Schizosaccharomyces pombe: one gene and its partner. The protein of the gene in region 2 interacts with the protein of the main gene of each other region in a pairwise test. Each region holds a gene or a part of one and is shown on either strand. Other genes may lie near its edges. The genes, in order: mug24 and sec18.

Evidence for each region.
Region 1: the proteins of sec18 (region 2) and mug24 interact in a two-hybrid assay, tested with the Schizosaccharomyces pombe proteins (one large-scale study listed by BioGRID).

Annotation. Positions count from the first base shown.
Region 1 is NC_003421.2:1,910,877-1,927,310, reverse strand, and holds mug24 (rrm type RNA-binding protein), read right to left. Parts: upstream 8,030-16,434; coding exon 6,065-8,029; 3' UTR 4,578-6,064; downstream 1-4,577. Other genes in the region: ppn1 (cleavage and polyadenylation specificity factor complex-associated protein), read left to right, coding at 1-1,565; SNARE-binding protein Sly1, read right to left, coding at 1,936-2,337, 2,391-2,499, 2,542-3,629, 3,731-3,999, 4,063-4,114; vacuolar phytochelatin and glutathione S-conjugate ABC family transmembrane transporter Hmt1, read left to right, coding at 9,769-9,966, 10,089-12,383; mdn1 (midasin), read right to left, coding at 12,654-16,434. UniProt on the Schizosaccharomyces pombe protein: Has a role in meiosis.
Region 2 is NC_003424.3:4,713,160-4,728,367, reverse strand, and holds sec18 (secretory pathway protein Sec18), read left to right. Parts: upstream 1-7,232; 5' UTR 7,233-7,251; coding exon 7,252-9,630; 3' UTR 9,631-9,855; downstream 9,856-15,208. Other genes in the region: Golgi zinc importer, CDF family, Cis4, read left to right, coding at 1-1,508; DNA replication pre-initiation complex subunit Cdc45, read right to left, coding at 1,608-1,904, 1,946-3,565; pex7 (peroxin-7), read right to left, coding at 3,968-4,730, 4,860-4,992, 5,320-5,350; SPOM_SPAC1834.13 (uncharacterized protein), read left to right, coding at 5,784-6,020; SPOM_SPAC1834.10C (uncharacterized protein), read left to right, coding at 10,057-10,279, 10,341-10,654; mug51 (variant protein kinase 19 family protein), read right to left, coding at 10,878-11,798; phosphorelay sensor kinase Mak1, read right to left, coding at 13,379-15,208. UniProt on the Schizosaccharomyces pombe protein: Required for vesicle-mediated transport. Catalyzes the fusion of transport vesicles within the Golgi cisternae. Is also required for transport from the endoplasmic reticulum to the Golgi stack.

The DNA of each region.
Region 1 (16,434 bases), on a different chromosome or scaffold from region 2:
CGTTAGAAGATTTGCGCCTTACTCTGACTGAGTGTTTAAACCCAATTAACATCGTCCAAGCTCCAAAAGAATGTGCTGCAATCCTTGTTAATCTCATGAGCAATATCACCCAAGATGATCAAAAATTAGTTTTTCTAGATCTTCTTAAAAGCAAAGTGGGGAATAGTATTTATAGCCAACTTGTTGACGGCGGTCGTAAATTGTTCCTTCCTAAACTACGTAACTGGTTTGTATCAGCTATTCGTTCTAAACACGACGAACTCATTCATTTAATACTGCTCGTGCTAGCTAATCTTCCTCTTACGACTGAGAAGCTAGCTGAGGTTAAGTTTGGCAAACCAATTTTAATCGTAAAAAAAAAGTCTACCAATTCCGTTATACGCCAGCTTGCTGAAAATCTTTCTGAACTGGCCGAGAAAAGTTTTACTATTGAACAAAATAGAGAAAATGAGAAGAGCTCTACGAAGAACGATTCGACTGTTTCATCTTCCGCAGTCGTTATGGCCCCGGCTGGTCCGGCGATGGCCCCGTCTGCGTCTAATAAACCAAGCGCTTCCTCAACTACTAAATCAAGCAATTCGAAATCTAAAAAAAAGGTAACCAGCATATCGGGAACATCCTTCTTTAAAAATTTAGCAAGCTCTACAAAACCAACTTCGGCCTCCTCTTCAACAAAAGCGCCTTTGACAAAACAGCAAACCAACCCTTCTACTCCTCTTTCCTCTATCATGGCTGGCTTGAAAGGACGGGAGAAGGAAAAGGACAAGGATTCTGGAATAAGTTCAGAAAATGTTAGTAATAATCGTGAGGAATTGCCCAGCTTCAGGAAGCGTTCCTCTTCGTCGAGGCAAAGTGAGGAGATTGCATCTTTACAAGCTGAGAATGCAGTGTTCAGTAGTGATCCTGCTTCTAATGATGAGAAAACAGGAAACAAAAAGAGAAAGAAGAAGTCCGTTTCATGGAAGCCCGATAACGATCTTGTTCAAGTCAAATTTATTGAATCTCTTAATGAGGAAGGTGCCGCGTCAGTCAAAACACCACACATCTATGGAAATGCTAGGGATATGGACAGACAGGAAGCTCGTGTAGCGTTTGGTAGCCACGTTGAAGACGATGTAGAAAACGAAATTATTTGGTACAAACCAGTTCCTATAAAATTTGAAATTTCTAAAGATGAAATCCATCCTCGTGGATACAAATGTGGAGGGAATGAACGGAATTTGACCCCGGAAGCCACTAGCGAAATAGAACGTGAGAAGAATGAAAGTAAGGATATCTCCACTTTTAACATTATTTTGGATTTGCCTGTTATTCGAGAATTCGATGATTCTCGTCCTCCTGCTCACATCAAGCTAGTCTCGTCTGACACTCAAGCAACAACTGAATTGGGATTTAATGGTTTAGTGCAGCAAGTTTCTGAAAATAACACGAATGCATACTCAGCTACTTCGAATTCGCAATTAAGTTCAATTTTTTCTAATTTGTCATCTTCTATATCAGATGCTTCATCAAACGTTTTACAAAATCCATCTCTTTCGATACCAAATTACTCGAATGCTATATAAACTGAAGATTTTCACAACTTACATATTTTAAGCCATGTCTAACTTAAGTTATAACTGAGAATCTTATGAATTATATGTTTTTGAAATTTTTTTTTGTTAATTTTTTTTTTTTTTTTTTTGTTTGAGTTTTAGAACAGCAATTACATTTTCTTTTTTCTGTTCCCTCAGCTCTTGGTCTGAAAGTATATGTCGTTTACAAATAACCGCGATTTGCGTATAATGAACATTGATGCTTTCCAAATTTTCAATACGATGATGGACTACACAAATTCGACAAAAAAGTCATGTATCAAATTAAGAGTAAATCATTTATTTCATACAATATTGGCTGAACAAACATGATGGCCAAAAAATAAAACTAAATAATTTTTTAAGATAGAGAAGCCATTTCTTCCATAAATTCAGATGGCGATAATATGTCGGTACTACCGTATATGATACGCTTCTTAGGATTTTGTTCACGCGCCCAATCAGCCAGATTACCATATTCTAAATAATTACCACCTCCTAGTACGCAAACAATTGCTTCACTAAAAGTCTGTCTTTTGTTCATGGCCCTAGGATCATTGTTTACAGTAATAGCACGAGCTGATTTGGGATCTAATAATAGATAAGACTCTGTTTGTTTGGAGGCAGGAGAAGAGCCAGGGTCCATTAGACTCTGAACAATAGATGTAATAGTCCCATCCTTCCTGAAGGGAATCAGATTTCTAACCCCCGAAATAATATTTTCAAGGCCACCAATACCGGCTTCTTTAAAGCGGTCGGTAAACTAAAAACAATTAATATGTGCTTTAAGGTGAAAAAGTGTCAAACTATTCTTACCCTTGTGGAAAGACTGCTAAATCCACGAAATAAATTATCTCCTGTTTGACCCGTAGCTGGTCTTGTGGTAGAAGATGCTAACATGGTCATTTTAGTTATTTCACGAACCCTAATATAAGTTAGAAAAAACCAATAACATCAATCAGTATACCTCTTAACAAAATTTAATGCTTCTAATGTACAGCCATTGTTAACCAACGCCTCTTCATATGCCTGCAAATCAGAAGCCGGTACGGAATCAACACTTAAATACCAAATTATAAAAAATCGTAGCTTGTCTTCGGGAGTTCCTTGTTCCTTGTTATTGATGCAAGCGAGAATGGCACTTCTGTTTAGTCCAGTTATATTATCTTCTAACTGAAAAAAGTCATCTAAATGGCGCTCTTGAATAGCTTTTAATAATGCAGTTGCTATATTCATATGCATGTCAAGGATTTGTTTACGAGCTGTAAGCTCTGGGAGCAAGCTAACTGCACTTTTTAAATAAGTCGAATCAGCAAATGCGTCAACATTAACTTCTTCAAGTGAAGAAACACCGGATTTTCGGGTAATTTCACTAGCATCATTTTTATATCGAGTCAACTCTTCATCAATGTTTTCGGCAACTTTAGGAAATGGTTTGCTAGCATTACTTTCCCAGAAAAAATCATTTCCATCTAAATCGTAAAACCGCTTTGTCATTTTTCCATCATCGACTGACTCTACGGTAATCCTATTGAGTTGCATATTTAGGGTATCATGAATCAAAGCTTGGTAAGTCCAAGAATGATTTATCATTGGAATCAAATCGACCGTTCTATCCAGTAAAATAAGAATTGGCCTTGGTTTTGGATTAACAGAAACAAAAGCATCCTTGGTATTCATTAAATGGTCCTTTAGACGTTGATTCAACTTTTGGGCAACCATCTCAGCAGCCGATCCTTGTGGGCAACGAATGATAGGAATGGTTCCGAGTGTAACGATCACTGAAAAGAGACCATTTACAATATCCTGAACGCGTGAATTAATGAGAGCCTCATCTGAAGACGGGTTATGGAACGTATGAAAGATTTTGGGCAGTTGAAGAGAAAAAAAATCACTTTCTAACACAACATAATTAAGATACTGGTCATACACTTGATGAATCATGTGACTTGTATTTGTTTTCGACGCCAATTCGGCAAACTGTTCCAGAAGAGCACGAGAAATGGTAGATGAAAAACAGACATAGGCTGATTCGTAAAGACCCTTCGAAAGATCCTTTAAAATATGTTAGCTTGCTGAACTGTAATACAAAAAAGTATTTGGTATCCGACAATAAGATTAATTGATTGAAAATTATGATACTGAGAAATCCATACCTCTATTATTAGCTCAATGTTTTCTTGAGTAGGTTGAACAAAGTAAATAGCTGGGACATCAGCAATAGGCTGACGAAACGAAGTGATATTCATGTGAACCGTAACGCCATGTTTTCTGAGATCACTAATTCTGAGAACAGAAGAAATAGTCTCCGACCCTGCCTTATCGAAGATTAAAACTTTCCAAATGGGAAAATTAGAGGCATGTTGAGGGCTTGATTCAAGTTCGTTGACGTCTTGGTTCAAATTAAGCAGTTTTTCTAAAGATTCTAAAGGTTCATATTAGCAATGCTTACTGAGAATTATACAGTTTTATTAGCAACACTACTTACGAATTTGAGCTTCTCTCAAAGAAGACGGTGTTTTTACAGATGCAATAGACATCGTGCCAATTCCAACTTTGGCACTAATATAAGCACTTAGAAGGATGATTTGTGTTGAGGGATAAACATAAGAATCATACCCTTCATATGGTGGTGTATGGCAGTGAAGCGAGTCTCGCTAAATGTTCAAAAAGGTAAACAACAAAATAAATATTGAGGTTTGGCTGTTTTACCAAATCTTGTAGTCTTCAATCTTTACTAAAGATTTCTGATTTTCATTAAATTTTTAGATATTTAAAAAAACAGTACTAGTGCACCGGAAACATTCAAAGCGTAGGAAGGAAATCAATCTTGCGTTCAGTAGTTTACTTTTCTAAGATTTAATCTCAGCTTTCTAACTGTGCTTACATTACATATATTTCTAAGAGGTGTTCTTACTTTACTATTTACTTATAAAGATACAATTATTAAAAGAGTATCCAAACGCAAAAAGCTCTTAATTATGAATTTAGCCATTAATGATTTGCATATTCTAAGTGTCTAGGATCATATACGATGGCTAAAGTTGCTCATGGGATCAAATAAGTAGAAGGCATGTCTTCGTTTATTTTTTTAGACTGAATTAAACAAAATATGAAATTATTCATTGATCATTATGATGATAATGATACCGTAGACCTAATCATCGTAATAGTAATTAATTAACAGCAATGATGGATGGAAAATATAATTAAACAATGTATTGATGGAAGGAATTGGGCAAAGTAAACCGAAAATATGACAAAGAAGGTGTCGGACTCGAATAATGATAATGATAAAACAAAAATCTCAAAAAAAACGGAATAAGGACAAGGATAGTGATGACAAAATGAAATGACAGAACGATTATGATAACAAAAAACGGTAGTAAGCAAAGTGTTGGGAGTAACGTCAATAATTGAGCTTTGAAAGAAAAGAAAATGGTGAGTACGTTAATCCTAGAATAGTAAAAGCAAGAATAAGCGATAAATATGGAAGCTCAAGAAAAAAATAAAATTAGTGTGATCAAGCTGAATGCTATCAAGAAAGCAAATGGTAAACGAACTGGTGATGGGGTCGATGGAATGATAGAATGAAGATAGTCAATTAATTGGTTGTGAACAAAGGATAATAGTGATCATGACGAGGAACAATAACAATGATTCTGGAAAGCTGAGCTGTAATCAAACGGGAGAAATAGTAAAGAATTCGTCAGTGGATAGTACAATGATAATGTGTATAAGTGAGAATAGTTGGTTTAATGATAGCAAGCTGGAAAAATGCAAAATTGGCTGGTGGGTTAGCTTAAAACCGGCATCAACGGAAACAGTAGCAAATGGGAAAATATTGTGGTAATAGTAAAAAATGGATAATGGTAAATGAACAAACTACCCATGAAGTAACGGATCGAGAAGGGTTCATGAATTCATCAGCAAGAAGTAAGTAATCTTTAATAGGTAAGAAAAGTAAAAGTTCACAGACCGGCTTCTCTTAGTGATAGAAGAATGGTTTGAAAAACTAATTGACACATTGAATGAATAAAACTCTGCTCAGAAGGTTGAAGGTAATTTTTCTTTAAAGACAAAAAATTACATAATTTAAAAGAAGACATTGGAAATCACGGAAGAGTAGTAATGTGACAAAGCAAAAAAATTTCAAATTTGGGTGGGAAACAATCAAAACGTGTAAAAACGATAAATCAAAAACTTTCAGTAATAAGGTTTAATTAGAGTCAAGAATAAAAAGAGTTTTTTTTCTGAATTTTTTCTTTTTCAATTTTTTTTGGAATTTTAGATTTTTTTAAGGCAATGTTTAGTTAGGTTTGGACAATTTTCAAGTTTTTTTCAGAGGAGTTAGTGTTAAGTTTTTGGGAGTCTCTGTTACAAACTAAATTTGCATGCTGAGTGAATACCCGTAGAATTGAGAATAAGCAAAAATAAATGGAAACATACTGACTTGCTGATGAACAAAAGTTACTTCGCGAGTATTGGAACTAGTCGTTTTCGTGGTCGGATGTTTGAGGATAGTTCGGAACATTGCAGTTGAAAGGAAAAGAGGGAACGGCTGTAAAGGGGATAAAGGGCTGATACTGGATACCAAAATTTAATATTGGATCCGAACCTGGAGGAATTGCTGGACAATAAGCTACAGGATATGAAAACGGTGGAGTAATAAATTGCTGCAATGGAACATTCTGTTGGATAGGAGAGTTGGATTTAGACTTTTGAAGCTCTTGTTCGCATCTATCAGGAGCATAGCGGATTTTGCTCTTCTTGAACAAAGGATGTATAGGCAAGCCATTGACAGCCTTCATGGCATTAGATATATTTGTATAGGCAACGAATCCAGAACTTCTATTTTTTAAATATTTAATTGATTCAATCTCTCCATACTGACGCAGTATGAGCTCTAACTCTTCGGTAGTAAGTGAATCTGATATATGGCTGAAGTAAACATTTCTGGAAGCGCCCATCAATATAGAATCTTCTAAAACTCTGGGCAAAGGTCCACTTTCTTTACCCCATCCTACTTTAATTCTTCGACCGTGTAATAAAACTTCTTCCTCAGCCAAGTAGTCGTGGAAAGCGTTGGCGGCCGAATACGTTATAAATGTAACGAAGCATATATGTTTTTCAGGAATATAGTGGAAGTCTTGTAACCCTCCATGTCGGATTAGATCGCATATTTCATGTCCTTTAGTCTTAGTATGGAGATTGCCAAGGAAGACAGTACGGTTTCCATTGTCTTTTGATTCCTGCTGCCTGCAACGGTCAGACGTGGTATCCGGATTTTGCTTGGAAGTGAAACATGACCTTTCATCAAATGAAGGTGGATGATTTGCACAGCGATCTGAGCCAAAAAATATTCGCCATGAGTGATAGTCAGGATCGCAAGATAAGGTACGAACAACCTTGATTGCGTCGCGGATGTTCAAAAAGTGAACAAAAGCAATATTCTTTTTCGAGAGGATTTTTATGTGCTCAATCTTGCCGAATTTACCAAACGCTTCTTCAATTTCCTTCTCGTGATAAGAAGAAGGAAGATTGCCGATGAACACATTACGGCTGGCCGCAGTGTTCGAGCAAAAATTTTGAATCGATTCAGGTAAAGGAGAAGGTCTAGCAAATGTCAATTTGAGTGGCCTACCATGAAAAATGAATCCACGAGGATGGTACCTTTCATAAAAGAAAAAGGCATCAGCAGAATCAAGAAATGTAATTATAATCCTGCGTTTTCCAGGGTTGGACTGAATCTTCTCTAATGGTCCAGAGTGGATAAGCGAAAGTAATTCGGAAATTTTGTAGTCAACTGGCAAGTTACCAAGGATTAAAGCACGAAAATCTAACAAGGATTCGTATTCTGAATTGAATGGTGAAAATTGCTCCGCAGGTTGTTGGGCAAACGGAGGAGGAGTACCTTCTCGAGGTAGGAAATTTGGACGGTTTACAGGTTTTGCATGATACATATTGTCGGTATAGTGGGCATAGGGCATCGGTATGAAGGTGTTTGCTGAAACATACATGTTGGGGTAATAGGTTGAAGGTGGAGAAGGATAAATGACTGAAGAAGAGTCCTGGTCAAAATGAGGATAACAAGGAGAATCGAGTTGTTCGGGAGGGGGATTCATTGATTTAGGAGCATACCCATTATGAGATTTCGGAATAAATTCTGCGGCATTGATGTTTACATGGAAAGAAGGATTAGGTGAAAGATTTTTGTGCTTTTTACCACCACAGTCAAGGTTGGTACATTCATTATTGTCCACTGAATTAAGACTACTGTTATCATCTTCTGAATCATTTAAAGTGCAAATGCTGTTGGCCGTGCCAGTACTTCCTGTCTCTTGAAAGCAGCAATCACTATCAACGAAGTGACCGTTGTTTGCTTGGTCTTTTTCAAGAACACGGTCGGTCTCAACTTCACTTCCGGCACAGCCAATTTTGTGCATAATAGCCATTATAGTGTTAAAAAAAAAGAATTGAGTGAGAATATGGATGCTTCAAAATATAGAGTGCTTTAGACTGATGAGTTTCGCTTCAAAATTAGTATCGATTTAAATGCTGTATTCGATGGTCAAAACTGGTGAGAGGGACACTTATTTATAGATAAAAAAAATCATATCGTGTCAAGTTTTCGTAACAGCTAAGCACCATTTCAAATGTAAACATTGCTATTTTCGCAAGCATTCCCCGCAAAGCTGTCCCACATTTCTTAAATAGAAGGACGAATCAAAAGGCACAAAGTTGCAACTCTAAAACGTCAGGATGGCCCACAAACGACGAATGCGACGGTAAATCCGCTGCCACTCTTCGCTAAAGTCGACGTAATGTACTTATTTTAGCGAGGCTTAATAGTTAAAATTACTTACGTCCAATCATAGTTGTCCCTTTAAGTTATTCGGTTCTTATTATGACTGCACAGTGACTACCACCAATTCCTCGCGAATAGTACAGTCATGATAAAGGGCTGGTAGACAGCCATTTCTAAGCCTTGAAATTACCTTTAATAAAAACCTCGAGAGCCAATAGACTTTTTGGGTGCAAGATTTACGATTAGCCAGCCTTCCCCCGCCTTTTAAACTGCCAGAGCAAAATTAAGAGTAGATAGGTATCCCCCATATCCCTTATACCGAGCAATGCAAATACTGATCCAAGGCAACAATACCATCAACCTTACGAAGAGTACTCAAAAATATTGTTAAAGAATTACGTATACTGTGTTAGATGCTTCAAATTGCCCGTCCACTTCTAGCATGATTGTTGCTGTTTTGAAGTTATCGACATTGTGGTTCATAAGGTTTTAGCTTCATAAAGCCTATTATATAATGTGATGCGTTTCGTTAGATAGTAAAAAAGTTCGGCTAGGGCTATACTTAATGCTTATTCATAAATTGGTGTAGACTGTATTCTGTCACAATGATGTACGTTGAGGCTTGATCTGATAAAAAAATTTGGAAAGAAAATAACGATGTCAGTAAGTTAAAAGTAGTTAAATTTGAAGTTCTTCTGAATATTTCAACCATTAATTAAAAATATTAATTTTAAAAAATAGAAGTCTTTAATGAGTTTATCATTTCTAGGCCGTTAGCGAAAGTCAGAGTTTGAAGGTGTGTTATGCAATTAAATATTGTAACTTTTGCTTGAAAGCCTCTTCAAATAAAAAGGATTTGTTACGTGTTTCTTTAAAACTTTTCGAAGGTTCCAGATACTAGGTTATTGCATTCAAGCTCATCAATTTTAGATTTGTATACCCAACATTGCCAGTCAACATCAAGTTCAGCCGCCTTTTATCTATATTTTAAGAAGACCCTTTACAAGTTGTTACTATGCCGTTGAAATTTGTAAAGCTTTCAATACAAGTAAGTACATTATTTGTTCCTCTATCGTGGCCGATGAAGGATGTATGCCTTAAGCTACGATCTTGTAAGGAGGTTAAGACTCTTAACAAAAAAAAAAGTTGAAACAAAATATACAAAATTCATACTGATTTTCTGCTTTCGAAAGGCTCCGTAAGTGGGGTAGTTTGGTACCGTATAGGAGGTATTCTTACCTCACCATTGTCACTCTTAACCTCTACACCACTTAACCTCAGTCAAACCAAATTAGCAATTGAAGCAGTAACAATTTAAAATTATCAAGTTACTTTTACCTAAAGTTTTATTAATCAAACTGGCATTTCTTTTTTGATTTTTTTGTAATGGTTCTACGTTACAACAGCCCACGCCTCAATATTCTTGAGCTGGTCCTTCTATATGTCGGATTTTTTAGTATTGGGTCCTTGAACTTACTGCAGAAAAGGAAAGCTACTTCTGATCCTTATCGTAGGAAAAATCGCTTCGGCAAAGAACCTATAGGAATAATTTCCTGGTGGATATTGGGAATTGCATTAACCTACGTACGTATTTCAAGCATTTTTCTTAAAAAATATATATATATATATATATAAGTATATTTTGAAAGAAAAATGTTTATGTTTAATTGTTTAACCTCGCTTCATATTGCTAATTTCATTTTTAGGTCGTTGATATCAGCAATCTTGTCATCTACGCATTGCGAGTTCCAAATTGGTGGCCCTGTAAAACCACTGTTGTCTGTTTAATTCTCTTCCTTTTATTTTGGATAATTGTACTTATCTCATGCGCAGATTCTAAAGCTCTTCCAAAAAATGCGGATTCCATACTAAAGGCCTACCGCCTTAGCGTCTTGTACGTTTGGGCTATAGACATTGTATTTGAAACAATTTTCATTGTCTACAGTCCTCATCCAAATGAAACATTTCAAGGAATTGTATTGGCGGACCATGTAGCCCGATTGGTCTTATGTGTTTTCGCTACAGCTATATATCTAACTTATAGACGAAAGAGACATACGCACGATCCCCTGGATTTTGAGGAGCGTCAATTAACAGAAGAGTCAAACGTTAATGAGAATGCTATCTCTCAAAATCCCTCGACCGTTCAGCTCGGTGTATCGGCATCAACCTCGAATTTTGGTACACTCAAATCAACATCGAAAAAACCTAGTGATAAATCTTGGGCAGAATATTTCCGTTCTTTCTCTACTTTACTTCCCTATCTCTGGCCGACAAAAGATTACCGACTTCAGTTTCAGATTTTCATTTGCATAGTTTTACTCTTTTTGGGGCGAGCTGTTAACATACTTGCTCCCCGACAACTGGGTGTGTTAACTGAAAAGCTCACAAAACATAGTGAGAAAATTCCTTGGTCTGATGTTATTCTATTCGTTATCTATCGTTTTTTGCAAGGAAATATGGGAGTAATTGGTTCTCTTCGATCTTTCTTATGGGTTCCTGTCTCTCAATATGCTTATAGAGCGATATCAACTAAGGCTTTGAGACATGTTCTAAACCTGTCATACGATTTTCATTTGAATAAACGTGCTGGTGAGGTTTTGACCGCCTTAACTAAAGGAAGTTCGTTGAATACGTTTGCAGAACAAGTTGTGTTTCAGATTGGGCCTGTTTTGTTGGATTTGGGAGTAGCCATGGTATACTTTTTTATTAAGTTTGACATTTATTTTACGCTTATTGTGTTAATTATGACACTTTGTTACTGTTACGTTACGGTCAAAATTACATCTTGGCGTACCGAGGCTAGAAGAAAGATGGTTAATAGCTGGCGCGAGAGTTATGCTGTGCAAAATGACGCGATTATGAATTTCGAAACCGTTAAAAATTTTGATGCAGATGACTTTGAAAATGAACGATACGGTCATGCTGTGGATATTTATCTTAAGCAAGAGCGGAAGGTACTATTTAGCCTTAATTTTTTAAATATCGTTCAAGGTGGAATATTTACATTCAGCTTGGCAATTGCTTGTCTATTAAGTGCTTATAGAGTAACATTCGGCTTTAACACTGTCGGTGATTTTGTCATACTTTTGACATACATGATTCAGCTACAGCAGCCTCTTAATTTTTTCGGAACTTTATATCGTTCATTGCAAAATAGCATCATCGATACAGAAAGACTACTTGAAATTTTTGAGGAGAAACCTACTGTGGTGGAGAAACCAAATGCCCCAGATCTTAAAGTCACTCAAGGTAAGGTAATATTCTCTCATGTTTCATTTGCATATGATCCACGAAAACCTGTTTTATCAGATATCAATTTTGTTGCACAACCAGGAAAAGTTATTGCGTTAGTGGGAGAATCAGGTGGTGGGAAATCTACAATTATGAGAATTCTTTTACGATTCTTCGATGTCAACTCGGGATCCATAACCATTGATGATCAAGACATACGAAATGTTACGTTGTCTAGTCTTCGATCTTCAATAGGTGTAGTTCCCCAAGATAGTACCCTTTTTAATGATACTATTCTTTACAATATTAAATATGCTAAACCTTCTGCGACCAATGAGGAGATTTATGCTGCTGCTAAGGCTGCTCAAATTCACGATCGTATATTACAATTCCCAGATGGTTATAATTCTCGTGTCGGAGAAAGAGGCTTAAAGTTAAGCGGTGGTGAAAAACAACGTGTAGCAGTTGCCAGAGCTATCTTAAAAGATCCTTCAATTATCCTTCTCGATGAAGCTACTTCTGCTCTGGACACAAATACTGAGCGACAAATCCAGGCAGCCTTGAATAGACTTGCATCTGGCCGAACTGCTATAGTAATCGCTCACAGGCTCTCCACCATCACCAATGCAGACTTAATTCTTTGTATTTCGAATGGTAGAATCGTTGAGACTGGCACACACGAAGAGTTAATAAAGCGTGACGGCGGAGCTTACAAAAAAATGTGGTTTCAACAAGCAATGGGAAAAACTTCTGCTGAAACTCATTAATCTAAGCATAATAACAAGCCTTTACTAATTTTGGTAGTTATGACTAATTTAAAAGGAGAATTAAAATACACTAACTTTGATTGTGAGTAATGCTGCTCCTTTCACAGAAACATTATGGTACTAAAAATTTTATCACTAAATTCCATACCAATGAATTTCTATTATTAATTAATTTATTAAATCGTAGTATGTATAAGTACCAAAAATAATCCCAAAACCTAACCCGATTATTTTTTTCTGCAAGTCTTAACTGCAAAGCTTTTGTACAATTTAAGTATTACTCATCTGCTGAAACCATTGACGAAGTGCAGAAGACAAAAGTTGCGGCAATTCTTCGATGTTACGAACCACCAAATAGTAATCAAAAGCAAACTCATCTATATATGGCTGAATTTTTAAATCCATAGTACCATCTTCTTTAGTGTCGTAGTAAACCTTTTTAATATCAAGGATGGACGACTTTTTCTGGGTGTTAACATTGTCAAGAATAACAAACACAATCATCACTTTTTCTTCTTGAGCACGCCTTAGCAGTTTCCGAATGCTATCATGATCTTCACAAATACCGTCTGAAATTATGATTTCTAACTGCCTTATGTCCGAGTTAGATCTATGATGGGAAGCCGTATTGGCATAGTTAAAGCATTTCATAGAAGCATCGGCGAGAGCCAAAACATTGGTATTACTTTGCTCAAATGTAAAATGCGAAAACATTTGTACACCACTTTCAGATGAAAACTGTTTGTCGAAAGGATGCAACAATTCAGGTTGCTCCCCAAATTTCATCACTGCAATTTGTCCAACTTCAAGTAATGATAATGCTTTTGTTACCAAAGCTAAAGTCTCTAACGCTAGAACTGTGCTGCCCGACTCACTCATCGACTTAGAATCATCAATGGAAATCATCACTTGATACGTCCTTTTACTAGGTTTAACACGACGCATCCATATCTTGTCTTTCTTGAACTGAGAAGCAATATATGGGATGATTCGTTTCATATTCAACCGTTTACCCGTACGAAAGTCTCCTTGCATCTTAGTGGCCAAGGTTGGTTCTAATATCAATCGAAGCTGTTCACATAACTCAATAGAAAGTTGCTTTGTAGAGTCCTCGTGTTTATTCCATAAATCACGAGCTTCATCAATGGGCATTGCAGCAGGAAGGTTAGTAATCTTCACATTATAATCAGGAAGTTCATCTTCAATATCCTCATCCTCCGATAATTCAAAAACCTTCTCAGACTGGTTGATAGACCCAAATTCCGTTGGAAGGGTATCTTCACCAGTCTGCTTGATATCTGAAATATCCTGACCATCTTGTAATTGTTTGTCTCCAACTTCATCAGCTTCATCTTCAGCAATGTTTGTACTGTTCATTGAGTCTGGATTCTGATTAGCAGACTCATCTCGATCAATACTCTTAATTTGATCTTTTTCGGCATTTCCCAAAGCTTGCAAATCCTCTTCCTCATCCTCTTTAACATGCATAAATTCAGAATCGTCAAATGCTTGACTTTGCGATTCAGTAAGATCCTCCCATTCGTGAATACGATTGGCCTGTTGCCATTCTCTAAGATGATCACCAAGGCTTTGATATTGTCGATCCGCCTCACTCATTGCTTCTTTAGGGGTTGAAGTGTCTTCCCCTTTCTGAACTTGCTCTGCTGATGAAAATTCTCCGTCAGCAGTTCCATTACCTCGAACTCCAGATTCTGCTGCTCCATCTTCTTCACCCAATTCTTCATTTTCTCCAACAATGCCTTTATCTGTATTTTCTTCATCAGCTTCTGCAGATGCAAAAGTAGATTTCGCATCCATTTTAGGATGATTGTCTATCGCCTGGTCTTCGGGAACTTCACCTTGCTCTAATTCTTCATCACTTTTTACTCCATCTTCAGTAGACTCTTCGTTTTCCTGAACATTCTCTTCGAAGCCATCTTCATTCATCTTCTCATCATCCTCAGCCAGATCAGAAAAATCATCTTGCTGGATATCCTCATCCAGAGTGTTGTTCTCTTCCAAAGGATCTTCAAAATCCTGCATAGGTTCATCTTTTTCAGCATCTGCCTCTTCTTTGTTTTCATCAGCTGCTTCCATATCCATATCTTCCAAGTCTGAATCTTTGCTAACATCACCTTCTTTTTCGTCTAGTTTGAGGTCCTCAGGTAAGTCGAGATGATCCTCATTTTCAGGTGGTGGTTGACTATTATTTTCTTGAATATCAGGTTGTATTTCATCATCAATACCAACATCATCTGACATTTCTTCTTCGTCCTCTTTCTCTTGCCTATCTTTATCTTCTAATGCTTTATTGTCATCTTCCTTTGAAACCAAGTCGCTCTCATTGTTTGCAGCCGACTGTTCATTTGACTTCTGCTCAGTTTCAAGCAAATCTTCTTCATTGGGCTCGTCCCAGAGTTTTTCGTTCAGTGAATTAGACAAATCTTCAGGGATATCATTGACTTCCTCATCCAAATCTTGATTCTCTTCTTCGCTATCACTGTTTTCGTTCTCCGATACTACAGAGTCCTTTGTTACTCCATTCATATCTGATTCCAACTCTCGAGCTTCAGACTCGTCCAAATCGCTTTGATTAGCCGTATCTTCTTCGTTGGCAAGTTCTTCAAGGTCATCGTCTTCATTTAACGTGTTAGTGATATCTTCAGCTCCCACACCGGAACCGAGACCAGTACCAGACTCTAATTCGCCACTATTTGATTTTCCTTCTTGTGGAAGGTCAGGCGAGCAGAAACCATTGTTTGCAACCATGAAAAACAACGTCGAAATTTTGGATAGCGAATCAAGGTTTGAGTTATGAACATTTATAAAGTAATCTAGCACACTTTCCGCTAAGTTTATAAACTGCTCACAAACAGGAAGAAAAAGCATAAGTAGTTGACAACTCATTTTATCGACAGAAGAAGAACGTAACTTCTCTTTCAAAGAACTCAGCTTCATAGACTGAAACTTTAAATTAAAAGCTCGCAAAACTTTAGAAAAGCAACTGCTCATTTCGATAAAACTAGACGTTTCGGCTAGTTCTTTGAATGTTCGCATATTCTTTGTAGCGGTTTCTATTGAAGAAAGCAAACTATCAAATAAGTTTAAAACAAAGTTCATCAAATTCAAAAACTCGTCATTTGTTAAATCCACTTGCGTTCTGGATATTGACTTCAAACTTTGCAAGCTAACCAAATGTTTAAAGCAGTAAGACAACTCCGGCAATTCTGTCCTTTTTTTGCGACAGTATTCAATCAAATCATTTATTCCTTTCTGTTGATCACGAATCGAAGAAACTTTATCAGCAGATGCATAAAGCGGAATTGAGGAAGGAAACAACTTGTTAGATAGCAGGTCGGCGAATCGACTAAGTTCATGCCCGATCGATTGAAATGAAGCAGTGGGAGATATACTTGAGTGCTTCTGTATAACTATGGCATAGATTTGACAAAGCATAGAGACAGCCTGCGCTCGATTTTCGAAATCGTGATCATATCCCAGACTACTCACCTCATTAAATGAAGAATTATTAAAGGATTCCAACGGCGAACCATTCACACCAACTTCTGAATAAACATTTTTTAAGGCCAATAATTCATTGGTAAATTCGACTAGCTGTGCACGCTCACCTAACTGCAAAGATAACATACTGTTAAATAAACCTACACCTTTTTGAACTTCAGGAACACTTAAATCATTATGTTGATGACCAGCTAGTGTCTGAAATTTGGGAATAAAGTCTAATGATTTCATCAGTGAACGATCAACTTTTTCTATACTCAATGAAGTAACTGGAAAAGTAGGAATAACTGCCAGCAAATTTCGTAAATTACTAAGATTTTCCTCAATACCAGCTTTAACACGGTATTGCAAGCCAAAAGCCTTTAGAGTTTTGAATGTTTCAGTAAGAAGTAAATGCTTTCGACTTTTCAAATGCTTAATTTCAGACAGATTATCATCGTTAATGGTTTCCGGTGTGAGCTTCATCAGCTCACGGGCATCAGTAATTAAATTTGAAACCATATTAGTGAAAGTTGAACCAGGCTTTTCA
Region 2 (15,208 bases):
TCATTCAATTTAATGTCCTTCCGCTTGGAACAATCAATCTATCAGTCACTCGTTTTACCATTCTTTGTTTTATGCAAATTTTTTGCATCAATTGGGATGGAATTGCCAGAATTCAATTTTACTTGGGAAAATTCGATATTTCTTTAATTATGGCCCTAATTTCTGCCATTATTAACAAGACAGCTTCTCAAAATTCTATCAAGATCATATCATGCCTCTATCAAGTAGGATTTTGCTTCTTTAAAATTGGTTCTTCTATAACAGCAAACTTGAAGCTTCCTGACAACAGCCGTATTTACCGACTTTACAATGATTTCATAGTGAATGGAGTGCTTGCCGATAAAGAGTCAAGAAGCATATTTTATTTCTTCCTTTTAAATGTTTCTTATATGTTTGTGCAAGTTATTTATGGTCTTTGGACAAATTCTTTGGGGCTTATTTCAGACGCAATTCACATGGCTTTTGACTGTATTGCTATTCTTGTCGGTTTAGTTGCTACGACGCTTGCCAAGATGCCTCTAAATTATGCTTACCCCTTTGGATTTGCAAAAATTGAGGCTCTTTCGGGTTTCACTAATGGTATTTTTTTAGTTTTGATTTCATTTTCTATCGTCGGCGAGGCATTATATAGGTTATTTCATCCGCCCCAAATGAATACCGACCAATTGTTGTTGGTTAGTTTTTTGGGCCTTGTTGTGAATTTGGTAGGTATCCTAGCGTTCAATCATGGGCATAATCATGATCATGGGTCTCATCACCATCATTCCCATAGTAATCATAGTATGTGTCTGCCTAACACTACAAATGATATAAATATTTTTGAAGAGTTTGAAGAAGAAAAAGATAATGTTGAAGCCCAGAAAATGGGCTATACGAATGACGATCACGTATCCCAACATGAACATACCCATGAGAATAGTCAGGAACATCACCATGAGCATAACCACAATCATGATCACATCCATAAATACAATGAAAAATGCGACCATGAAAGCATAAGTCTCCAGAATTTAGACAATGATCATCACTGTCATCATCACCATGAAAATCATAATATGCATGGCATATTTCTGCATATTATCGCAGATACTATGGGCTCTGTTGGAGTTATTGTCTCTACTATATTAATACAGTGGTTTTCATGGACCGGTTTTGATCCTTTGGCATCTCTAATAATTGCTGCATTAATATTTGTTTCTGTACTTCCATTAATTAAAGATTCGGCGAAGAATTTGCTCTCTGTGACTGATCCAGAATCGGAATATTTATTGAAGCAGTGTTTGTCGAACATCAGTTTAAGTAACTCCGTTATCAGTTTATCCAACCCTAAGTTCTGGACAAACGAAAGAGGTGAAGTGTATGGAATACTCCATATTCAGGTGAGCATAGACGGTGATTTAAACGTGGTTCGTAATGAAGTATTTAGGAAGCTCTCAATCGCTGTACCAAATTTAAAACACATTTGTATACAATCTGAACGGCCAAACAATTGCTGGTGTGGAAAATAGTTCTTACATCAGTTGATATCCATACTTATTTACGTGTAATTTTAATTAGATGAATTAATATTTTCTTTATTAGCAAAATTCCCATTATTTACCCAATCTTTATAATAGTGTTTTGAAGGACAGACTTTCTAAAAAAACCCCGAGGTCACTTTTTTGACACTCAATCACACTTGCTTCAAAACAGTCCATTTGCAAAGTAGCAGATGTCATGTTTGCAACCTCTTGAAATGCAACTCCAAAACGATTGTGTCCATGACCGTCGTCATCATCGTCATCTTCATTGCTAGTAAAAGCGGAAGTAGAAGTTCCAACTATTAAGTACCTATTTTTTTCCTCTACAAAAGCTGCTAAAACAAGAGGAAGATGTCTAAGCTTTCCAAATTCTCGTTCTTGCTCCTTCAAGTGTTAGTCAAACGTTAAAATCAATAGACACTTACATTAATAGCTTCAGCAATCCAAAGACTCATCTTTGTTAACGCAAGGGGATGCATAAATATTTTCAGATCTGGTCCTTCGTTGATAAGTCCAAAACGAAAAGATCTCAACGTTTTAATGGCTCTTTTTTCAAGTAAGGTGATTCCAGTACGAACAATGGCTCTTTGTAAGTGCATTGCTAACTTCAATGCTCTTTCTAATGAATCGACATCGTCCAAGGCGTCGTATGCATCATAAAAATTGTGCAACCATTCTTGATTTTGAGCATTTTCAAACTTCTCCAAATATTCTTCCTCCGTCATATCCGGGCTTCGAGCGACAGTTTTGCTTTGAAGCAAAACACCTGTATTACCCATTTCTAATAATGCACTGATAGCATAAGAAACGTCACTTGCACTAAGTGTACATTTGAATCCATAAGTCCGAGTAAAACTATGGAATATCACATCGTCTAAACCATAAAACGGTGCAAATCTTTTAAGACTACTTTTCAAAGTTTTTTTTAAATCCATGTTCATGTGAATATAAGTTTGTTTACACTCCACCAGACTGAGTCCCATTTTTGCAAGAAGCTTATGTAGTCGTTTGCGTCCTTCCTCGCTCCAAATGTGAAGTCTCGAACCAACGTAAGCAGAATGAAGCATAGAATCATAAAGACTCCAATGTCTTACTAGCATAAAACGAAATTCATCTTCAAGCCGAATTGACTGATCATGGGGTGTCTTACCATGTGCGCGACCGACTATTTGATTTTCAAGTGGTGAAGGGTTCAAGCGATTGACTTCATCTTTCAATAAAGAATAGGACCTATTGAAGTATTTTTTTGAGGATTGGCAGTGAATTTCCAAGCAGGTGAGCCCAACAATCGCTAACCACAACATGTCATTATCCTCACGTCCAAGCATGGATGCTACTGCAAACAGGATATTGGTAATTGACTCGCCGTACCAACTTCCTTTCTCATAATATTCAGAAAGGATAGAGGCGAACTCTTTCCGTTTTTTCCTTTTCTCCTTAATTTCAGCTCGACGTTGCGTCGTTTCCTCTGAAAAACGCCTACGACTTCGTGCTTGATAATCGGATGAGCTGTAAGATTCCACAGATCGGTTGTCATCTTCGACTTCCTCCTCTCGCTCATTACTGGAATCGGAATTTTCTTCATCTGATAGCTCATGCGAATTAAATGCATACCAAGCATCATGAATTTTATTCATGTCTTCTTCAATATCTCCATCGTCGAAAACAAAAATATTGTTTTCAATGTATATATTATTTAGATTATGCGGCCTATGAGAATCAATTACATAGATAGATACGTCTTCCATAGAAACAAGATAATTATTTAGATCCACCATCGTTCCACAATTCAAAAGTATAATGAATTTGATATCTTCATTTTGCTCTAGCAAAGTTTTATTTGCTTGTTCAAGGTCTCGATAGCCCGATACAGGCCTAATTTTATGTGAAATAAAATCGCCTTTCAAAAGTGTGGACAATAGCTTGCATGCACAAAGCGCGTCTGGGTCTAAAGCAACAAAGAGCTGAACTGTGCATCCACCAGATACACTTGCTTCTTTAATTTTCAAGTAAGCAGAGGCGTAATCGGATCTCTTGATGAACATTAATAAATAAACGTTACTGGTGGTGGATCATGGAGGAAATTACCAGGTGGTCAGTACAAAGGAAGGTAAAGCACTTTGAGTCGCTTTATATTTCCTAAACAATAGCGCATTAATATACAAGTCAAAGCTACGCAATAGTAGTTACAAAAAAAAGAAATTTTTGTAGGCATTGCAAACAACCCTTTCTCATTTTATGCCAAATGCCAAAAATCATATTATAATTACTCTAGTTACTAAATTTTTCACTTGAGCTACCTAAACTATCGTAAAAATAATTTGTAATCGCTGTTTTCTGGTGATATAATCCAAGGTGAACATGTGCACAACGAATTTATTCCGAGCGTTCGAACATTTCGTCTTTGAATCAGTGTAATAAAATCTTAAATTAAAAACAGCAGCAACTTAAAATGCGTTCCATATATACAAAGATTCGTCCCAACCAACACTTGCAATCCAAGATCCATCGCCGAAATCACTCCAATCAACATCACGGACAAATTCAGAATGCAAATCAACTTTTCTTATGCAAGAGTGCTGTTCCGGGTCAAAAATTCGAGAAGTCATATCGTAACTTGCTGTAGCCAAAAGATCATGGGCGGAATTGGACGATTTTATACTTCGAACAGCAAGTTGGTGACCAGACAATACGGACAGAGGCGTCTTTAAATTCGCGATATCGTAACAGTAAACCAGATTGTTATTGTCGGCCGTGTAAACCATACGATGATTAGACTTGCTCCAATTCATGCAAGTAATTTGATTCGGTATTTCAATGGACATAAATTTATCGGAAGACCGGAAATCCCAAAATTTGCATAATCCATCACTTGATGTATACCCGAGTAAATTTGGAGAGCTATAATGTGTAGCAACTGTAAGAATCCTTGAATTCGAACCATTGTTGAGCGTCTGCACACTGTTAGGCAAATTGCCTAACCATAATTTGATAGTCCCATCCCAGGAGCCCGTAACTACAATTCTTCGATCAACCGTATTTGTGTCTATTGCGACAATCTCCGCTTTATGCTCTTTCCATTTATGGATGGGCTTAGAGGGCATAGTCAAATCAAATAGTCTCAAAGAACCATCACCACAGCAAGCGTAGACTTGATTTTCACAATTCTGAGACCAGCGCACACCAAACAAAGAATCCTCGACATCATAGCTAGTATTTAACGTTAGATAAATTTCATTTCGTAGGATTTAGAGACTGTTTTCATCATAATAACTAATGGTTAAAAGTGTTTTGTGCAAAAGTCTAATAATGAAGAGCAGTAATCGCACAATTACTTACTGTTGGCAAACTTGAATTCCTTTTGGCGTAACATCATGAATATAAAGACGTCCGCTTCCGCCTAATCCATAATGGGTGACAGCTGCAACAGCGATCTTGTTTTCGACAAGTGGAGAGAATTGAACACTTTCACCTAGCGAATATTGTTAGTAACGATGTACAATTATGCATTCCAAGATATTTATTTTGTTTTGTTTTCTTTTTTTTTTTCCAATAAAAAGGAAGGAAAATTAAAAGGAAACAAAACAAAACAAAACAAAATAAAATAAAATATAAACAAAATAAAGAAAATATTCAGTAATAACAAAATTTCGTATTTCTACATCATTTGAATTTAGTTTAGTTATAGTTCGGTAATATTCGTTCATTTTATTTGTATTTTTCTCAAGCAGTTGTACTATCGCTAGTACTAGTACCATATAATATTTTGTCTTGCTTCGCTTCCCTTTATTTAGCTTACCTTGAAACCCAGGAGTCCTCAATGACAGCATGGGCAAATAAACACAAGCACGTTGCCCTCGAAGAATTGCTCGTTTACAAGAAAAAAATTCCAGTCATGAAACGGAATTATTTCGCAGCTCGGCTTAGATATTTTTCTTATATAGTTTTGCCAATAAGTGTTTCTACTTATGCTCCAAGCAACTTTTGCTTTTTGCCCCGTCTCGTTTCTGCTCTATTCTGCTTGGCTTGGCTTGGCTTTGCTTTGCTCACCAAATTTTGAGAGCGAAGCTTGTTTCCTCAACCCAGCTTATATATATCAAAAAATATATTAAATAACTACACTACCAATTTAGAAAAATGATAAATCATAAGGCGTGAACCAGGAGAGAAATACAATATAATTGGCTCCTTCACAAGCTAGCTTCGATAAGGGTGGGAAAAGCCGAAAGTTTATGAAATTAAGGTCGATTTTCTATATACCATATGATATTCGCCAGACGATTGGTACTTGAAGTAACTTATGTGTCAAAAAGAGCAAGCGTATTGAATCTGAAATCTGAAAATGACCACTTTCTAAGCAGGCCTAGAATATCCGAGTCACTGCCAACATCAGGGGAGGTGGGGATAGCTAAAGTACCTGCGAAACTTGCAAGTGCGCTGCCGCCTTACTCAGTCTTTGCCCCCGTTTCCCTTAGCTTTGTAAGAATGAATTGCGGATAACGTTAGGACAGTGTAGCTCGGGATAACTAGTTTGCCTGTAAAAGAACAAATAATCATTTGTAAGGGACCTTCCTTCCAAGTCATCAACACTCCATCCCATCTTACCTCACTTTCTCCTCAATCAGATTCAAGAAATGGCTGGCTTCACTTGTGACAATAACAGTGACTCAGGTGAGATATCGAATAAAATTCCATTCCCTAATAATCGCGTTTGAACATTCGCGAATCCTAGATTTTGGTCTATTTACCGTTATCATGCCAATTGAAAAATTTGTGACAGTATGACAGAAATCCGTTTCGTTATGTGAAAAAGGTGACATTAGCAAATCAATGGCCGTTTATACGACAGCAAAAACTCGGTACGCTAATCATTGATGAAATGGAAATCAAAATTCAAGACTTTGCCTCAATAACATTCATTAGAAAGGTGTGTAAATTTTTTAAGGAGACGAGGCGCTGAAAATTTTTTTTTCTACTCCTACTATCAAAACTTGCTAACACTTCCTCCAAACACACTCTTTTTTAAGTAACACTTTTTTTTTATTTCTTATTTATTTAATATTTTGAGTGGATGATCACCCGTATTCGGTTAGTAAAGTGAAGCTCAAAAGAATGATGCGAATCTCGGCAATTAGCGTCAAGCGGCAACGTCTATAGCGGTCGTATAGCTAAGCTAAACAAGAAGCGAGATCTTTCCAATACGGATGTCATTAAGCTACCGATTCTTAAAGCGAAGACATTATCACTCATGACACATAAAATTTTTTGACGTTATTATACGTTTAATAATGAATAAAATAAATTTATAAATAAAATAAAATATATAAATATACAAAAGGGGGAGGGGAAATCCCTTCAATAAACGACAACAACAGTCTGCAAGAAGGTTTGTCTTATTGGAAACAGTTTTCCTATCTTAGAAGGCTGCTAAAAAAATAGTCACTTGCATGCTACAATAATTGCACGCGTAAAGAGGCTTTTGCAAGAAGAGAGAGAAAAAAATTTTTTTGCCAAATGTAAATTGGGAAGTAACATGGCTTCACTACATCTCGTCCTAAAATATAACGACATTGGAAATTTATGGCTTAATTATGATTACGCAATCAAACGGTAAACGTATACTTCACTATTCGCTAATCTGTATTTCGTACTCCGTTATATTATGTTTTAGTAGTAGGTGGAAAGCGTTACGTTTACTGAAAACGATTTTCCATTAACAAAGCACTCAACAATGGACTCAAGATGGAAACTTCCATTCATGTCCAATAAAGGGACACCAGAGCAACCTATGAGGAAACCACTAAGTGGCAGTTATTCCCATAACAGTGCTGGTCCTACACCCAATATGAGCCCCTTTGAGCAAAAACCACCGCTGCCTACACATATGGATGTTAGACGCCCTTCAGGTCCTTTTCGGATCGTCAAGGCGACTTCTACCGAAGATGCTTTAACCAATTGTATCATTGTTTCTCCCATGGACTTTAAGCAGCAGTACATTATTGTAGACAACTCTCGTGTGTTCAGCACTAAACCCGTTCCTGGCTTTCCACAGGGTTGTCTTGGCGCTTCCCAGCCCCATCGCGAATGGGCTTCTTGGTCGCTAAATCAGCAGGTTCATGTTGCCGACTATGATCCATATGGTCCTCATGGAGCTCCTTATCTTCATAGTATGACTTTGGAGGTAGACTTTCAAAATAGAAATCGCACCACTAATGAGCCTTTCGACGGTGAAGAGATGGCCAAGTTATTTTGCTCTAGTTATCAGAGCCAAGTTTTTTCTCCGGGCCAGAAAATTGTTTTCGATTTCCGTTCTTACAATATAAAGGCAACCGTCCGTACTATATCTTGTGTCGATCTTTTAATTGGTGAGAATCAAGATGCCGAAAATACTGCAGATACCAGCAAACGTGGTCTCTTGACTTCCCAGACCGAAATCCAATTTTTTAAAGCCGCTCACTCTGCGTTGCGTTTGAAAGCTAGCATGACAAGACCTGCCTCTAATGCCATTCTTCAGCCAGGCTTTAAATTTGAGGACATGGGCATTGGTGGTCTTGACTCAGAGTTCAGTGCTATTTTCCGTCGAGCATTTGCCTCTCGTCTCTTTCCTCCTGGCATGGTTGAAAAGCTGGGTATTAATCATGTTAAGGGTATTCTCTTATATGGCCCTCCAGGTACTGGTAAGACATTAATTGCTCGACAAATTGGTAAAATGCTAAATGCCCGTGAACCGAAAATCGTTAATGGTCCTGAAATTCTAAACAAATACGTCGGTCAAAGTGAAGAAAACGTTCGTAAATTATTCGCCGATGCTGAACGTGAGTATCGCGATCGCGGAGAGGAATCGGGTCTTCATATTATTATCTTCGATGAATTAGATGCCATATGTAAAAAGAGAGGAAGTTCTGGTGGTGATACAGGTGTTGGCGATCAGGTCGTTAATCAGCTTTTGGCTAAGATGGATGGCGTTGATCAACTGAATAATATCCTTGTTATTGGTATGACTAACAGAAAAGACATGATCGATGAAGCTCTTTTGCGTCCAGGTCGTCTTGAGGTTCATATGGAAATTTCACTTCCAGATGAACACGGCCGTTTGCAGATTCTGAAAATCCATACGTCCCGTATGGCTTCAAATGGTATTTTAGAGAATGATGTTGACATGGAAGAGCTAGCATCTCTTACTAAAAACTTTTCTGGTGCTGAAATTGCTGGATTAATCAAGAGTGCTTCAAGTTTTGCTTTTTATCGCCACATCAAGGTGGGAACCACTGCCGCTGTTTCAGGTAATTTGGAAAATATCAAGGTGAATCGTAACGACTTTTTGAATGCTTTAAGTGAGGTAAGACCAGCTTATGGTGTGAGTGAGGAGGAACTCGAAAGCCGTGTGCAAGGTGGCATTATCAATTTTGGTAAACACATTGAAGAAATAATTACCGAAGGAAAATTATTTGTTCAACAAGTTAAAAACTCCGAACGTACACGTTTGGTCAGTGTATTATTGTCAGGCCCTATAGCGTCAGGGAAAACTGCATTGGCTGCCACGATAGCCCTTGGTTCTGAATTTCCATTTGTTAAGCTCGTTTCCGCTGAGTCCATGGTAGGAATGAATGAAAACGCTCGAGTAGCTCATGTCAATCGTGTGTTCGAAGACAGCTACAAAAGTCCTCTTAGCGTCATTGTAGTAGATGAGATTGAACGTATTATTGATTGGGTACCAATCGGACCTCGATTTTCTAACACCTTACTTCAAACACTTATGGTTCTTTTCAAAAAGCAACCCCCCAAGGGTCATCGATTGCTTATTTTAGCAACTACCTCTGAACGTACTATGCTCTCTCGAATGGATATGACCCAATCGTTTGATGCAGAAATAGCAGTTCCTAATGTCTCCAACGTTACTGAACTGGACCGCATCATACAATCAATAGATTCATTTGCAGACAGCAATGTTCGAGCTGATACATTACAACGTTTGCAGAACTTTACTGGTACTGATGCTGTCAATGTCGGAGTAGCCAAGATTCTTATGATAGCCGAAACGGCTAAACAGGATGTAGACGTTGTTTCCTGTTTTGTTGAAGCCATGGCCCGTGCTATTCCTATGGAATAGCAATGACACCTTTTTAATAACTGAGACGTTTTAGTCATGAATATTTTCTCAAGGTTTTTTATATTTTATACCGTTATAGATTATAGTTAATGAATACACCGCAATACTGTATGAATATTAAGTTAAAAGATGTTCGAACCTATATGTAACGTTAAAAAAATTAAATCATCTTGTTAAATGAATGCTTATCAATATAACTTTATAGCCTTTTATAGTCAATTATCCATAAATAATCATTTGAAGCATTGTAAACAATTTAAGCATACTACATTACTCCCATACTGAGAGGCACAATTTACCAATTCGCTATTTCCACTCCACATTGACCCGGTTCATATTCTAAATCTTTAATTTCATCAGTCATAAATAGTAAAGGACATGGAAATTTAAAAATCGTAACATTCAACTCACATACTTAATTCTAAAATGAATATGCCCTCCGAAATACTACTTGGTGCAAGACGCTGGTTTGCTTCAACATCATTTAGTCTAGCAGCTGTATATGATGCTCCACTTAAAAAAGCTATAGGAAACATTAAAAAGTTTTCGATTGGATCATTAGGTTTAACTTATATGATTTCTCCAGTGATGCTTTTACTTGATGCAGGAGGTTTAAGTTTGGGAACGAGAATGTCGATGGTTTTCTTGGGTATGTTTCATCAAGAAATCGGATTACCAAAATTTCCAAAGCAAATTTATTAACATGTTAGCATGTACTACTACTAGTTTGTCGACTGCAATAATTCACTGGGCTGCTAAATCTTATGTTTCGGAGGCAACGTTAAAGGGAAACGTGCTATCTTTAAATACATTTAATATTCTAGGAAAAAAGCGCTTATCCCAATATACTTTAGACAAGCTCAAAATCCCTGATACCAACAATAGTCGTCCATTCGCAAACCTTGAAAGCACTACTGTACCCAAACGATATTTTTACTTGCACCCAGAATTGGCTACGCCAATTTTTAATGCTATACGGCAGGCACAGCAACCTAAGCAAATAAACAAAAACGATTCGAAATAGATATCATAATAACTATATAAGTTTTTTAATATAAAATTCAATGTATTGTAATTTAGGTCTTAATCGAGTTTGAAATGTAGAACGAATAAAATAATGCTCATCTTTTGAATAAAAAAGGGAGGAAAAAAATGGTAAAGATTGATTAATGAAAGTGTATGATATGAATAAATAGTACCGTATCCGATTGTTCTCGAATATGTGTGAATTATCTGACGACAGTGTTTTAAAACTTCATTTCAAGTCCTTTTTTAGTTAAACGGAATGCTCTTCCACAAGTAGTCATAAACGAATCAACCAGTCCGGCTCCTATGGCGTCGCAAAGTCGAAACTTCCAACCAAAAAATGCTTCGTTCTTCTTTTTGCAAGCTACCGAAACATTGCGATTATATAGTGACGATTCAATTACTTCGCGGTACGGCCTCTTTTTTAAATAATTTGACAAGTCGTTTCTGCTGTTACGCAAAATATGAGTAAAAATGCCAAGGTTGGGTAATGAGATTCCGTAAGAGTCAGTGCCAGCAAGAATAAGAAAGCCCATACTAATCAGCAGTCGTCGTTCCTCCCAATTAAATTTCAACTCCTCGGATGTGTAGGAAGGTAGTGGATTTTCAATCAATAGTTTATGCAACTTAAAGATTAGCGTATAAATATGTTCCTGATCTTTGAACTTGCACAAATAGTATGTAAATAATTTATCAAACTCAGGTCGCAAAATTAAGCAAGACTCACCACAGAACTTGTCAGATCTATTTAGGTAAAGACGACGGATGTCTCCTGTACGTATAGATTGTTCTAACTCTTCAGCAACACTGGTATAGTTTGATTGAAATAAGCCTATCAACTGTGTTTCCACAATCATTCGCGGACACTGTGCAACTAAAACATTCGTTTGCTGGCGCATTTGAATGTCACGAAACATTTCCTCAACTAAAACTTCTATAGAGTTTCGTATCGTTTTGTTTCTTAATACAATCAATGGAGGAACATTGTACGAAATGATGTTTAATGGTGATTGACCAGTACACATAGATGCTTTAGAGTGGTTTTTTTCAATTGCTAAAGAAGTCTTTCTCCTTTTGCTAAACAGTCTGTCTATTTTAGTCTGTCCATTCTTCTTTTTATTTATTTTTAATAAAGCAGGCATTGCCAAGGTAGGTAAGGGAAGTAACTTACTTTACAGAAATTTCGTTAGTCGAGTTTTCATCACCTTCAACATTTAACGCAGTGATTTTTTAATTGCCAGCTACGCAGTTTAATAACTATTTTAACGATACGAAAAACTGCAGTGAGTTTTCCTTGCGACTTATACAGTAGTACAGGAAAATAAGTAGCAACTCGTTAAAGATATTCTAAATTTGGGGTTACAATGTAACCTATTAGTAAAATAGTTTATAGTTGGGCTAAGGAACGAGGTTTAGTGGTGGCTTCATTATAATCTTTTTAATGGTTCATAACAGTGGGAGTCTATTTAAATTAATAAAAGGGTGGTTATCGGCAATTATCAATACACGGATTGAACTAAAATCCTAACATATGGCATACAGTGAGTGTTGCACAACTGTAGTGTCAGCAATACTACACTACGCTATGATACATTACGTTGCGTATCACTATATGTCATATGTTGGAATACTAGCTAAGATCCGTTTATTGATAATCACGGGTAACTATCCGTCTATATACATAGATACCCGTTGATAACAACTATTTAGAAATATTATAAATAGCGTTACAACTGAACCTCGTTCCTCAGTTCAGTTATGAGCTATATTAGTGATAGGTAACATTATAACCCAGTTAATACAATACCTATACTCAGTTGCTACTTATACAACCTGTGTATTGTAATATAATAGACCACAAGGAAAACTCACCGCAGTTCTACGTATCCTTAAATCAGATACCAAACTGCGTAGCTTACATGTAGCTAGTGTAGTATTGCTGACATGTAAAATAGTAATACTATATAACGTAGTATAAGTATTGATGCATTATCTAATCGGTTGTAGGCAAAGCCAGTAATTGAACTAAATATACTTTGTACGACGAAAGGTATTGATACCAACCAAGAACTTGTTTTTTCTTTCTGGACTGGCTTATAGCATTCCCCTTGGAATTAGAATAAAAATCCTGTCTACACAGTGAACAAATATATGTAGTGATGCATAGTGAAGTGTAGCATAATTTACGCTTATGGTAAGGGAAAAAATTTGCTCCAGCAGTGACTTGAACACTGGGCCTCTTGCTTACTAGGCAAGCGCTCTACCACTGAGCTACAAGAGCTAATTACGAATTACCTAAAGTTTGCATTTAACAATGAGAATGTATCCTCGAATTGATTATTTGACTGCTTCCTATACTTTAATTTGGTTTGTATTTCAAAACTGATTGATTAGCACACAATACAATTTTTTTTTTAACTTGCCAATAAAATACACATTACATTAAACAAGGGGAATATGTGATATTTAATATTATTATACTGGTTCTGGGCGCTGGAAATATAAATGCATTAAAAAGTTAATAAAATAAAATATGAGATGCTTAGATAATTATTATTTTGGAAAATATTCAAAATAAGAAGTTGTCAATTTAAATAAATATAGGCACTAAATAAGCTTTTGATCAAAACAAAGAAAAAATATAAAGTAAAAATAAAAGCATTAAAACAGTGAGATCCTTTCTAAAAATACAAGCAAAAGTGAGTGAAGATTAAATATCAAATCATTTGTGTAACTTTGATTGGTTCGTATAATTAAGTATGCCAGATATGATTAAGGACAAGTGTTGCAAAGTAATAGGTTTGGCAAGGTAAGAATCAAAACCACTATCTTTGCAGCTTAAAACAACATGAGGTAAAGCATTCGCACTAAGTGCAACTATAGGAACTTTAGGGTAATCGTTTTCCAATTCGTATTTACGAATTTCATTACATGCCTGGTAACCATCCATAACAGGCATTTGTAAATCCATTAGAATAAGAGAGTAAAAATTAGGCTTTTCACGTTTCCATTCTTCAACACATTGCAAACCGTCCATGGTGACCTTGAATTTGACACCAATTCTTTCAAGGTAACGGCTTATAACCTTAATATTGATAATGTTGTCTTCCGCCAACAACACGCTAAAGCCAGACTTTGCCAGATTATATCGGAGTGTTTCAGCATCAGCCTTCTGCTCCATTGCAGCCTTTCGAGTCATATCATTAAGTGCACCGATTTTCCCCTTTTCCTCAGAATCAGAATAAAATAATGGAAAAAACTTGGATGGTTTCACAAGTTTTAAAACGTAATGGATGCTTTCCGAATTACAATCCTCGCTATCTGAAAAAATCTTAGATAATGATTCTTTTTGTCGAGTGGAAGTCACCAAAATAAATTTTGTATCCTTGTATAGACTACAAAGTTGCAGTGATTTGACAAATAAAACATATGCTTCTATGTCCGGAAGATTTAATATAATATGGGTGACCTTGGATTGCATAGGATTCTCTAGCAATTCTTCAAAGGCTTCATAGGTATTTCCATACCTTACGATATCTTTAAATGAGCTTATATCGATAATTGATTGAAGCATGTTGCCAATCGCTTCACTACTGTATTTAGTGTGTGATACAACAACGGCTAAAGCACTTTTATCCAACTTGATCCCAGAAGGTTTGTTTCTATAGAGTCTCCAAAATAGAACTGTGTATGGATCAGCAGATGCGCCGCATCGACAAAATTCCGATTCAGAAGCGAAAGGATTCACATATTTGTTGGATTGAACATTTTTGTCCGATTCAAGTTTACGTCGGTTGCTTTCTCTTCCGGGATCTGCTTTATTTACGGCCAATTTTACAAAATTCGTCGCGCTTTTATCGTTTCCATCGTCTGCGCAATAATAGTCTTCTGTGCTTTGTTTGCTTTTTTCGTATGGACAAAAACAGACTGGACAACAACCATCTGGGGGTTCAAATTTTAGAGGAGTTTTATCCATTGTAAACGTTGCAGTCCACATAAAGCGCGTTCCCACGCCTCTTCTACTTTGACAGGACATACTACCATTATGTAGCTCAACAAGCTCTTTTGAAATAACTAATCCAAGACCTGAGCCACCATGTCTTGGTAATGTAGAACTCTCTACTTGAGAAAACGGTTTAAACATTTGTAATTGATCATCTCTGTTAAACCCTTGACCGGTATCAATGCATTCCCACTTTAAAACAACAGTATTGGTTGAGTAATCAATCTTTTCAACGGAACAACGAGTAAAAACTTCACCAACATTCGTAAATTTAATAGCATTTCCGATCACATTCAAAGCAACTTGCCTCATTCTCATATTATCCCCAAATACTATATCAGGAACATCAATGTCAACCGTGTAGTTCAATTCTATTCCCTTTGAAAAAGCGAGGGTACCTAGAGTTTCGTTTGCATCTTCCATCATAGCTCGTACAGAAAAGCGTTGGCTAGTTAGCTTCATCATTCCAGCTCTGACTTTACTAAGGTCCAAAATATCATTGATAACAGTCAAAAGAGACTTAGCTGATTGCTGAATAATACGTGCATA